Linked DNA regions of Drosophila melanogaster. The protein of the gene in region 1 purifies or fractionates together with the protein of each later gene. This does not show direct contact. Each region holds a gene or a part of one and is shown on either strand. Other genes may lie near its edges.

What was found.
Region 2: the proteins of EMC1 (region 1) and EMC2B purify together in Drosophila melanogaster (affinity purification with mass spectrometry, with the first as the bait; one large-scale study listed by BioGRID). This does not show direct contact.

Annotation. Positions count from the first base shown.
Region 1 is NT_033777.3:7,902,224-7,908,956, reverse strand, and holds EMC1 (ER membrane protein complex subunit 1), read left to right. Parts: upstream 1-1,593; 5' UTR 1,594-1,734; coding exon 1,735-1,829; intron 1,830-1,896; coding exon 1,897-2,539; intron 2,540-2,629; coding exon 2,630-2,776; intron 2,777-2,859; coding exon 2,860-3,172; intron 3,173-3,245; coding exon 3,246-3,266; intron 3,267-3,571; coding exon 3,572-3,906; intron 3,907-3,960; coding exon 3,961-4,155; intron 4,156-4,215; coding exon 4,216-4,293; intron 4,294-4,351; coding exon 4,352-4,553; intron 4,554-4,612; coding exon 4,613-4,765; intron 4,766-4,832; coding exon 4,833-5,003; intron 5,004-5,067; coding exon 5,068-5,301; intron 5,302-5,363; coding exon 5,364-5,524; 3' UTR 5,525-5,927; downstream 5,928-6,733. Other genes in the region: Taf7 (TBP-associated factor 7), read right to left, coding at 1-1,073, 1,138-1,332; mRpS9 (mitochondrial ribosomal protein S9), read left to right, coding at 6,325-6,420, 6,503-6,718.
Region 2 is NT_033777.3:16,989,756-16,993,651, reverse strand, and holds EMC2B (ER membrane protein complex subunit 2B), read left to right. Parts: upstream 1-1,773; 5' UTR 1,774-1,884; coding exon 1,885-1,918; intron 1,919-2,059; coding exon 2,060-2,468; intron 2,469-2,594; coding exon 2,595-2,751; intron 2,752-2,813; coding exon 2,814-3,062; 3' UTR 3,063-3,318; downstream 3,319-3,896. Other genes in the region: CG31274 (uncharacterized protein), read right to left, coding at 1-417, 472-515; MESK4 (misexpression suppressor of KSR 4), read right to left, coding at 3,767-3,896.

The DNA.
Region 1 (6,733 bases):
GTCAGTTGATTGATCTTCTGCTGGACCTGTTGCTGCGTGTACTGCGGCTGCGGTTCGTCTATGAATTCCATGTTCTCGAACTCCTCGCGCTTGGCTAGCATTTGGCTATCGTAGAAGCCACTGGGAGCAGCAAGGTTGGAGCTTGATCCGGCGGCGCTGAGCTTAGGACTGCTGGCTTCATGCCCAAACATAGACTTGCTGAACACGTTCTGCTCCATTTTCACTACGCCCGCTCCAGTATTACTGCCACTAGCGCCAAAGAAGTCCGACATTCGTGAATCATCAGCCGAGAGTCGTGAGGATTCCTCCATCACCCGCCGCTGCATGGTGTTATTGCCCCGATCGGGCTCATCCTCGTCATCCGTGCTGGACACTTCCTCGCCGAAGATGTCGTGGACAGCAACTCCCATGTTCGGCGCCCGGTGTGAGGGAAAGTTGCTGGCTTCGTCATCATCGGACTCCACTTGGAGGTGCCGCTGGGAGCTCATTTCCATGATCGTCTTTTCGCTGGCATGCATGGTGCTTTCGTCCTGCAAATCGTCATCCGCATCGTTGTAGGGTTTGATGTCCGATTGCTCCAGTTCATCCATTGGCTTGTCCTCTTCGTTTATGATTTCATAGTCAACTCTGACAGCCTCGTTGTCAATGCGCAGCAGATGTTTCACTTCCTTCTCAATCTCGGGAGCTTCGACATTCTTTTTCTTCAGAGTTTTGCGGAATCGTCGTTTTCTCACATTCTTGCACGGCGGTGTGATGCCGTGCGGAAAGAGGTATTTTTTGTCCACCTTGTTGGGGTCCTTCTTTTTGTTCTTGTTGGGCGACTCCTTTTCCGTCTCGTCCTCCCGCTCCTCCTTGCAAATGAGTATTTGGCAGATGTCTGCCGACTTGTAGAAGCTCTTGTTGTCAATGGTCTTGTAGCTCTCGACGACGGTGGGCAAATCCACGAGTTTCGTGTACAGTATCTGATCATCTATTCGCACTTCACCGTACCTCAGATCCGGATCCAGTTGGATGGTCAGCCGGTCCTTAATGGTGCCAGCATTTATTGCCTCATGGACCGTGTCCGCCAGTTCCTGCGGAGAATCCGTCAATTTGCACGGCTTGTTGTGATGTTTGTTTGTGCTATGTATGGCTTACCTTCGGCACGCGCATGATAAACTGGCTCTCCAGCTCTACGCCATCATCCCGGGCCTTGTGCTCCGCTTGCTTAACCTTGTCGCTCTTCTTTTCAAACATTTCAATGCGATTTTTCCAGAAAAATACAACTTCTTTTGAAGACACTAAATGCTCATTAGAGATGGGAGTTAGATGGGGCACCGCTAGTGATGGCATTCACGTCACAGTTATCGCTGCGAGCACGACGAATATTTAAAATGGTTCACACTGCAGCCGCATCTGCAGAAATATAAGCCCTGTATACCGCAAAATGGCAAGGCATTTTATTTTTTAATCTTTTTACCAACAAATTTAATCATAAAGGTGAAGACCGAATGGGTTTGCCGTACGTTGAAAGGGGATGAGCCGCACTGCTTTGAATATCGGATGTGAGTCCGCTGAACTATCGATAAGGCAATCGTCAGCCAACCCTGCTCCAATTTCGTCTTCTCATCCCTTTTGCCATGACGGAAAACACGAATTGATGTGGATTTCTACTAATTTATAACATAAAAATACGTCAAAAGTTGAACAATCAGAGATCGAGCTAGTCGAAGGTCAGCAAGCAAGGCGGACGACATGCAGGAGAAGTGGTTACTGCCCGCACTTTCGCTGGCGCTCCTATTGGGCACCTGCTCGGCGCTCTACGAAGACCAGATCAAAAAGTTCGACTGGTGAGTGTGGTACGATATCTGACCATTGACCCGGCGCTAATACGGCGGATATGTGCGGCTTTTGCAGGCGAGGCGTCAATGTGGGAGCACTGAAGCAGTCTCGCGTCGACCTCAACCATTTTCAGCCGCGGATTCTGGTCACCACCTATGAGGGAGTGGTGGCCAGTCTGTGCGTAAAGACCGGCGAATTGGTGTGGCGGCAGGTGCTCGAGCAGAAGCCGCGCGGCGACGTCAAGCTGCTCCAGGTGAGCGGATTCGCCGATGACAGCAGCGACACGGCCGCCGCTCCGATGGGCAGCAACATGGGCTTCGACATGCTCACCGTTCAGGGACACGCTCCTGCTTTGGTGCGCGGCTGGAACACCAATATGGGTGCCCTTGAGTGGGAGTGGTCCATCATGCCCATGAACACGGAGCGGGCCCAGGACGCCATGTGGATCTACAGCAAATCCGTGCTATATCACGTGCTGCCTGCCTGGCGGAGCCACCTCGAGGTGACGGCGTATTTCGCCAGCTCGGGCCACAGCACTGGCAGCACCAGCAAGGTAATAGCTCCTTGGATCACCTCAGAGAGCTGCACCCTTAGCGGCACCTTCTACGTTTGTACGGACGGAAAGCAGTTGATTAGTTTGGATCTCGTTTCCAAAAGCGGTCAAGTAATCCGTACTTCGCTCGAGGCGGAGCCGAAGGGAAAAACTCAGGCCTTGACGGTGAGGAAAAAACTTTGCTATTGCTTTTATTGAAAGTGAAGTAATAGATTGTTGTAAGTGAAGTTATAATTCGTCCAAACATTTCTATAGGGTCTGAATGGTGTTGTGATTGTGGATGGGAAGCCAATTAGTGTCAACAAGGACCAATCGATCTGCGGTGATCTGCGAAGCTCCAGCTTCGCCGTGGGCAGCTTTAACTATCGCAAAGTCTTGGCCTATGCAGATCTGTCCTCTGGAGTACGTTTAAACTTATATTTACTGTTCTATTCTACTATTTCTATGTGAAAACTAATTGTTTCTTTCCCTGTGCGTATGAACAGATCCTCAGGATCAATGCTCTGTATTTGGATAACTGTGCACCGGCAGCGGAGTTGGAGCAGAGTCTGCCATTCCCCGAGCATTTTGGCACTCCGTCGCTGAGCAACTTCGACTGTAAGCAGAAGCGCAATGGCGAGGGCAAGAACTGTCTGTTTTTGTTTAGCAGCACCTCGGAGTCCATCGTGGCAGTGCAGCATGGACGCGTTCGTTGGTCGCGCGAGGAGTCGCTGGCAAATGTGATCGACTCGCAGTTTGTGGATCTACCGCTTGCCGATACTGAGGGCACATTGGAGAACGAGATGAAGGGCAAGGCCGGTGAGTGTACTTGACTTATGCACTACTTTAAGGTGAACTCATAAAATTTATTATTGAAAATTCATACCAAAAGGGGATTTCACAAGTTTTGAGAGTAAGTGAACGTTCACAGCAAACTAATCATGCAATATTGTTTGTTACATGTTTATCACTTTTAATTTTGTGTTTTTTTTTTTAATGTTTATTGAACGTACCACTAATCTAAAAACGAATGTTTACTAACAAATTCAAGCATGCTTCGCTAGTTTAAAGCTAAGTGTATTACTTTTACTTTTTTACTGTCCAATAATTAATTTCCAATGTAAACTAAAATATGAAATATCTTTGGTATATCGTTAATGTTTAAAGATCATATTAAATTGTTCTTTACTAATATTTATGTTTTCACCACGTAAACAGGAGACATTGCCAGTGCCTTTTTGCGTCGCATCACCACTCAAGCTGTTCAGATTCGGAGCTTGTTCCTTCATGTTATCGGACTGGGTCCTCCACCTACAGACACCCAGCGAGCCGGCTTGGTCAGAGACTCCTTTGGCCTCCACAAGATGCTGGTTTTACTGACGCGTGCTGGAAAGATTTTTGGCATTGACAATGTCTCTGGGAAACATCACTGGCAGCTGCATCTTCCCAATGTTATTGGATTCGCTAACGACGAACAGATGCGTCTGATTGTCCAGCGCTCGGCCAAACACTTTCCACTTCAGCCGTTGTGCACTATTTTGGGCAAGAATGCTGTAGGTCTGACTGACAAATCGCATAGTTCCCACGCTAATTCTAATCGTTTATAGGTCAGCGGCAATGGTGTGCTCTATCGTTTTAATCCTATTACCGGCAAAGTAGCCGAAGGTGGCCTTGTTCAGCTGGACTACAGAATTAAGCAGCTTTCGTTGCTGGGAGAAACGGAAAAGGACTTTCTGAAGGGCATTCTGTTACTGGATGCTTCGAATAAGGTACATGTTTATCCCGAACATGCGGCCCCACTGGTAAGATATAAAATTCTATGATATATCAATAGAGTTGAAAATCTTTACATGCACGTACAGGCTGATGGCATGTATCTGTACACCGCCGATTTGAAAACTGCAGAGCTGGCCGGCTACTTTGTTAAATATGCGGGCGGGGTAAGTAATGCAGCCTTTTAATATGAAAGCACTTAACTTATTAAACCATTTCCGTTAGCAACTGTCCAGCACGCACATCTGGAATGCTCGCCTGGGCGGCCACAATTCCGAGCAGCAGATTATCGGCGTTGCCGGCAAGAATCCCATCGAGCATGTCCACTCCCAGGGACGTGTGCTGGGCGATCGATCGGTGCTGTACAAGTACATCAACCCTAATCTAGTGGCTTTCGTCACACAGGCACCGGATTCCACACACAAATGTGAGTCTGCATGCGCTTCGTGTAATTAAGCATTCATTTAAATGGCACTTACTCCATAGCCGTGCTAAATTTGTATCTGGTTGATGTGGTCTCCGGCTCTGTGGTTTTCACCATGACGCATCGTAAGGTCCGTGCACCACTGAGCATTGTCCACTCCGAAAACTGGCTTGCCTACTCCTACTTCAACGAGAAATTGCGTCGCACAGAGATTAGTAAGTTACAACAGCGATAGCCATTGACAAGTACCTATATTTACTAAACTTTATTTACTTGCTACAGCCACAATCGAACTGTACGAGGGCAAGAGTCAGGCAAACAGCAGTGTTTGGAGTTCCTTGCAAGCTCCGCCAATGCCCCTCGTGGAGCGCCAGTCTTATATACTGCCCACAATAGTTGAGGCTCTGCGGGAAACTATCACGGAGCGCGGAATCACCAACAAGCATGTGCTTAGTGAGCATTAACGAAAGTAATTTGAACGCCAAATAGGATGCTAACCATTTGTCATTAATTCTAGTCGGCACTGCCAGTGGTTCCATTGTGGAAATGCCGTGGCATTTGCTGGATCCCCGACGTCCTATCGCATCCACGACTCAGGGACGTGAAGAAGGAGCCATCCCCTACATACCCGAGCTGCCTTTGCCAACAGAGAGCCACATAAATTACAACCAGACGGTTGCCCGTCTGCGTAATATTTACACCGCGCCCAGTGGCTTGGAGAGTACCTGTCTAGTCGTTGCTACGGGCTTAGGTAAGGGAGATTTATCAAACGCGATTTTGGTTAAAGCACTGTAAACCATTTTTATTTGACAGATTTGTTCGTTACGCGCGTGGCGCCATCAAAGACGTTCGACTTGCTGAAGGAGGACTTTGATTATATTCTCATTTCCATAGTGCTAGTCGCGCTCACATCAGGCTCGTTGATTGTTAAGCATTTAGCGTCGCGTAAATTGCTCAAGCAGGCGTGGAAATAGGCTTGGCATTATTATTAAATAATTGCTTTAAATATATATAAATTGTACTGCGACCAAATACCACAAGGGAGGATGGAATGATGATGAGAGAATGTAAATCGGCGAGATACTATTGATATATATAACAGAATTCTGATAGCTGCATTACATCCCACAATGCGAATAAAACCTTTTATCAACGCTAAGCCTAGGCAATTATTTATAACTAATTATATAGCGTTAAACATCAAATAACTATAATTAGCTGTTGAAAGGTTTTCATTGCATGTTCTGTTCCTTTGATTTGTGTTCGTTTAAATTTCCATTTGAAAATATCAGCATTGAAAGAGTGTTTAAAAAGTATAGTCAATAAAAGCATTTGTAAAGGTGGACAACGGTAAAGTAAATAAACAATTTTTTCATCAGAATTAACTGATTGTTGGGATTAATTAGGAGGTGGATTCAAAAAATTTTTGATAATTAAAACAAAAAATATAAATAATAAAAATACAATTAAATCAAAAATTCATAGCGTCTATTACCTGATTTATTTAGGACAATTTTTTTTAGAATTTCCTGTAAAGTATAAAAGGAATTATTATTATAATACTTATCTCAAAAATGAAGTAATTTTCACCGTCTTATAACATTGTAAGAAAGTTGTGGTTTTATAGCTTAATAAATTAAAAATACAAATAAAAAAATTTTTAAATGGGCGCCAAAAATCAGCTGAAAGCTTGTGTGTTTTCCAACACCGACCATCCAACTTTAACCGACTGAAACATATGTTTATTCTCTTCTTCTTCCGCAAAATTGAAAGGATGGCACTGCGTGTTTTTGGCTTAAATATAGTAAAAAATAACAGGAATCTGCTGCAAAATGCATGCAAATCCAGGGCACCGATGCCATGCTACATGGTTGGTACAATAGTCAAGTCAATAGACTTGACACTTTTCACTGTTCCCAATTGTGAGACCAAACGTTTGCATAACCTTTCAGGCAGCGGCTCCATTTGCCACCGATGTGACCGTCCAGGCTGCTCCGGCGGCTGTCCAGAAGCAAAGGGTGAGCAAGGCCATGCGGGCGTACCTGAAAAGAGCCACCGAACACGACGAGTTCATGAAGACCCAGCACCTGGAGTTCCAGATCGGAAAGCGGCACCTGGCCAACATGATGGGCGCCGATGCGGAGACGTTTACCCAGGAGGACATAGACGTGAGATATTTGGCT
Region 2 (3,896 bases), 9.1 Mb from region 1:
CTCGGCAAATAAGGAAAAGTGTTTATGTCCAGGTTTACGTTGCGGTCCAGGATTAAAGTGTCCAGATCCTCGAAAAAGGAGAGAAATCTCAAGTTTCGGAAATCATTGTGACTCAAATCGAGAAACTTGGTCTGCGCTGCGAATTTGTCGGCCAGTCGCCGCGGAATTGTCTTCAGGTTCTCATAGGCCAGCGAAATGCGTCCGTTGTCCTCTAGGATGCTTTCCGAAAATGATACATCTTCACTTGGACAACTGCTGATGGAAATGTTGCCACTAAAGGAATACGGATTCGGCGTAATCATCTTCCCCACGTTGTCTTCGGTCAGCAAAACGTCGTTATATTCGTAGTTCAAGCTCTCCAGCGACTGAATGTTGGCACAATTCCTGAGGACCTCCGTTAGGCAGGGATTCAACGGGCTGGAAGCGGGATATTTTGGTCATTACATGGATTTTTGAATGCCTATCTACTACCTGTCTTCGGAGTTGGAGCGTTCAGAGGTCGATGTTCCAGACATAACGGCGTAGATCTACATAACTGGCAGCAGCTCCTATTCTTGGTGTTTTCCAATCGGGATCGGGACTCCGTCGGATGGTATTTATTTTGGTCCAACGTCTGTGGTAGACTGAGGGAAAAATGACACTTGACTCTCGCTCCGCGCAGATTATCTGGATCTTCCGCTCCCCAAGCAAACACATACCCATATCTGTGAGTGTATTGAAACAATTGTCATCTCGGTGGTCACAATCACCCAACGCACTCAAAGTACACTCGAAAAAAGCTCTGTTGGAAATGTAAACATGTAGTGAATCTTTTCTGCCACAATTCCTCCTTATTTTGAGATAAGTTTATAAATAAACGTTTTTTTTTCTCTGTAAAATTACTCGTTCAGATTAGTAAGTGTAAATGCACAAGTCGAGAACAACAAAGTAAGGTATGAGGAAGAAATCTCTATTGTTTTTCCTTTGTTGATGCTGATACTCTTCCACGGAATTATCTACGGAGATGGTGTGTTAGTTTTGCTGAACGCTTGGTATACTATTTAGTTATTGGTTTACCGAACTACTTATCCAGTTAGGAGTACGTTTGGTAAGAGGGTTTAAGGTGTTCTTTCTTATCTCTTTTATCAAACTCAGGAACTTTGTATTACCTTACGTGGCTGGGAACAATTGGACCATGTTAATGCGCTGCAAATAATTAATAAGAGCTCCTTGTAATATAAATCACATTTATTTACTTGTTTGTTCATATAGAGCTAAGTTGATCGATTGTGTCGTATGCCGAGTGCACTCAGAAACGGAAGGGAAACGTGAAAATATGTTGATTATGTGACTATACATATATACTAACATAAGTAAGCCATATGACTTCCTTAATTATCCAATAGGAATCTAAATTTATAATGTTTTCCGGTTGATCTTTTGAATTGGACTTTAAGATATTTGAATGGCAGAACGCAAAGGGTACTCTGCAAAAATGTTATTACTTGTACCCATCTTGTACCCATATCTGGCATACCACAAGGGAAACACCTAGGTTCGCTCCTTTTTACCGTATTCATTAATGACCTAGTTATTATAGTTATATCACCTTCTCGTTTACTTATGTATGCAGATGAGAGGAAAGGATATATATACATCATTGGATCGGAAACGCTTTCTTTTACAAACTAGTCAACAAATCCTGCATACTGTGTAACTGTAGAGTAGAGTCTTACGATATTCAAAAAGTAGGTTGGCAGCGCCACGCCACTGTTATTTGGTATAATCTAACGGCCCATTATGCTGCCACACTTTTATTTTGCCAGGAAAGGAAATCGGCAGTTAAAGATTACAATTGGAAAATTAAGTTAAATTAATGAGATATTTAAGTGCGCCTAAGTGAATATGTCGCTAGATTATGAGAAGATGAGCTGGTCGGGTGAGTTTTTGGCTTTTCCCGGCTTCAAACAGGTGCAGACCACGTCAGTGGGTTGCTCCCAATCGCCCGGTTTCCGTGGACCCAAAAAACGGGGCCATGAATGAAAAGTGCGGTATCATAATCGTATGATCATCCTTCCAGATGTACGCGATCAGTTCAGAACATGGCGCGAGGAGACGGGTCGCCACAGCGAGGAGGTGGTCCAGCTGTGGGTTGCTGTGCTGGAGGACAAGGTGCACAAGACCGGCAACGAGCGGCATCTCATCCTGGAGCAGGTGATCATCGCGGCATTGGATACGGCTCGCTTTGACATCGCCACCAAGTGTACCAAGCAGCTGGCCCTCGAGTTCCCGGGCAGCCTGCGCGTGATGAAGTTCAAAGCGATGCGCTACGAGGCCCTGGAGCAGTACGATGAGGCCGACGAGGTCCTGGATGCAATCATTGCTAAGGACGAGACAAATGCCGCGCCCAGGAAGCGCAAGATTGCCATCCTTAAGGCCCGTGGTCGTCGCCTGGAGGCCATCAAGGAGCTCAACGAGTATCTGAAGAAGTAAGAAAGCTAAGTTCATGGTGTTTTTGGAAGAACGGAACCAAATTAGTTTCCGGCATCCGGTTGCTAGACAACTACTTATCTTACCATGTACGATAATCTCATAACTATTTAATATTCCTTCAGGTTTATGTCTGACCAGGAGGCATGGCATGAGCTGTGCAACATGTATCTGGCTGAAGGCGAGTTTGGCAAAGCTGCCTTCTGCATGGAGGAGGTTTTGCTGCACAATCCGCATAGCCATCTAATACACCAGCGTTTGGCAGAAATACGATACACAATGGTGAGCTATATAAGCCCACTAACCAGTAATGAAGTCCATCTTATGAATTAATTTTCTTTCAGGGTGGCGTCGAGAATATGGAATCGGCTCGCACTTACTATTCGCAGGCCCTGAAGCTTAATCCGCATAACTTGAGGGCCCTTTATGGCATTTACTTGTGCTGCAACCATTTGGACAACTCTCGAGCCGTGAGCTCCAAACGGAAGGAGCTGCAAAAGTTGAGTCAGTGGGCCCTCGAACAACTTTTGACTAAACAAACGATTGTACCCTTGGAGGCTGCTTTTGGAAACCTGGAAATCAAATCGAATTGACCAACATAAGCACTACAAATTTGTGCAATAGATGCCAGAATGTAATGGTTCCAAATATTTTCAGATGTGGGTTTCCAGTTTCTGTTCTTTAAGCAAGTTACATAGATAAACAATTAAAGAAATAGGAGTAAAAACAATTTTATAGTCAGTGCATCCAAGCAACTGTTTTTGGTGGTCTAGTATTGTTGACGGCATTGAAAAACATTTATTATTGAGGTAGGCAAAAATAGTCCTGTAATAAATTTAGATTAAACGCAATGAACTGGTTACTTTGAATCATAATTTTAATCTTTGGCCTCAAGTTTTAAGCAATATTAACTCGTGCCCATGTGCTTACATCCGTAAAATTAATCGGGCACTGAACGACATTCAGAATAAGTCGAAGAACATTTATTCTGAAGATGGTGCCTATTGTATACTTGACTATTCGCTGAGGTCATTGACTCTTATTATTGTAAAAATTGCTTTAATGCACTAGATTAATTCTCACTAGGTTTGTGCGTGTCCATCGTCATACAATTGCAAATTTATATACGTACATGGCAATAACCATATGCATATTTACTTGCATAGCACTGTAGGTGCAATCGACGACTGCAGGGCAGCGAGGGCAGCGCTGATAATCCAGCGGACGGTTAAAAATAGTCCAACAATGGGACAGAATGCAATCAGTGGAATACCCCTCCCTCCTTCGGCATATTACTTCAGTTTGTGGAGGAGCCGTTGCCAAACATCCGTCCGCTGTGCGATTTTCTGGAATACTTTGGACGGATGATGTCCTTGAAAGTGAATGCGGATGCGAGTGGAGGCTTTTCCGAATTGCTCGTGGAGTCC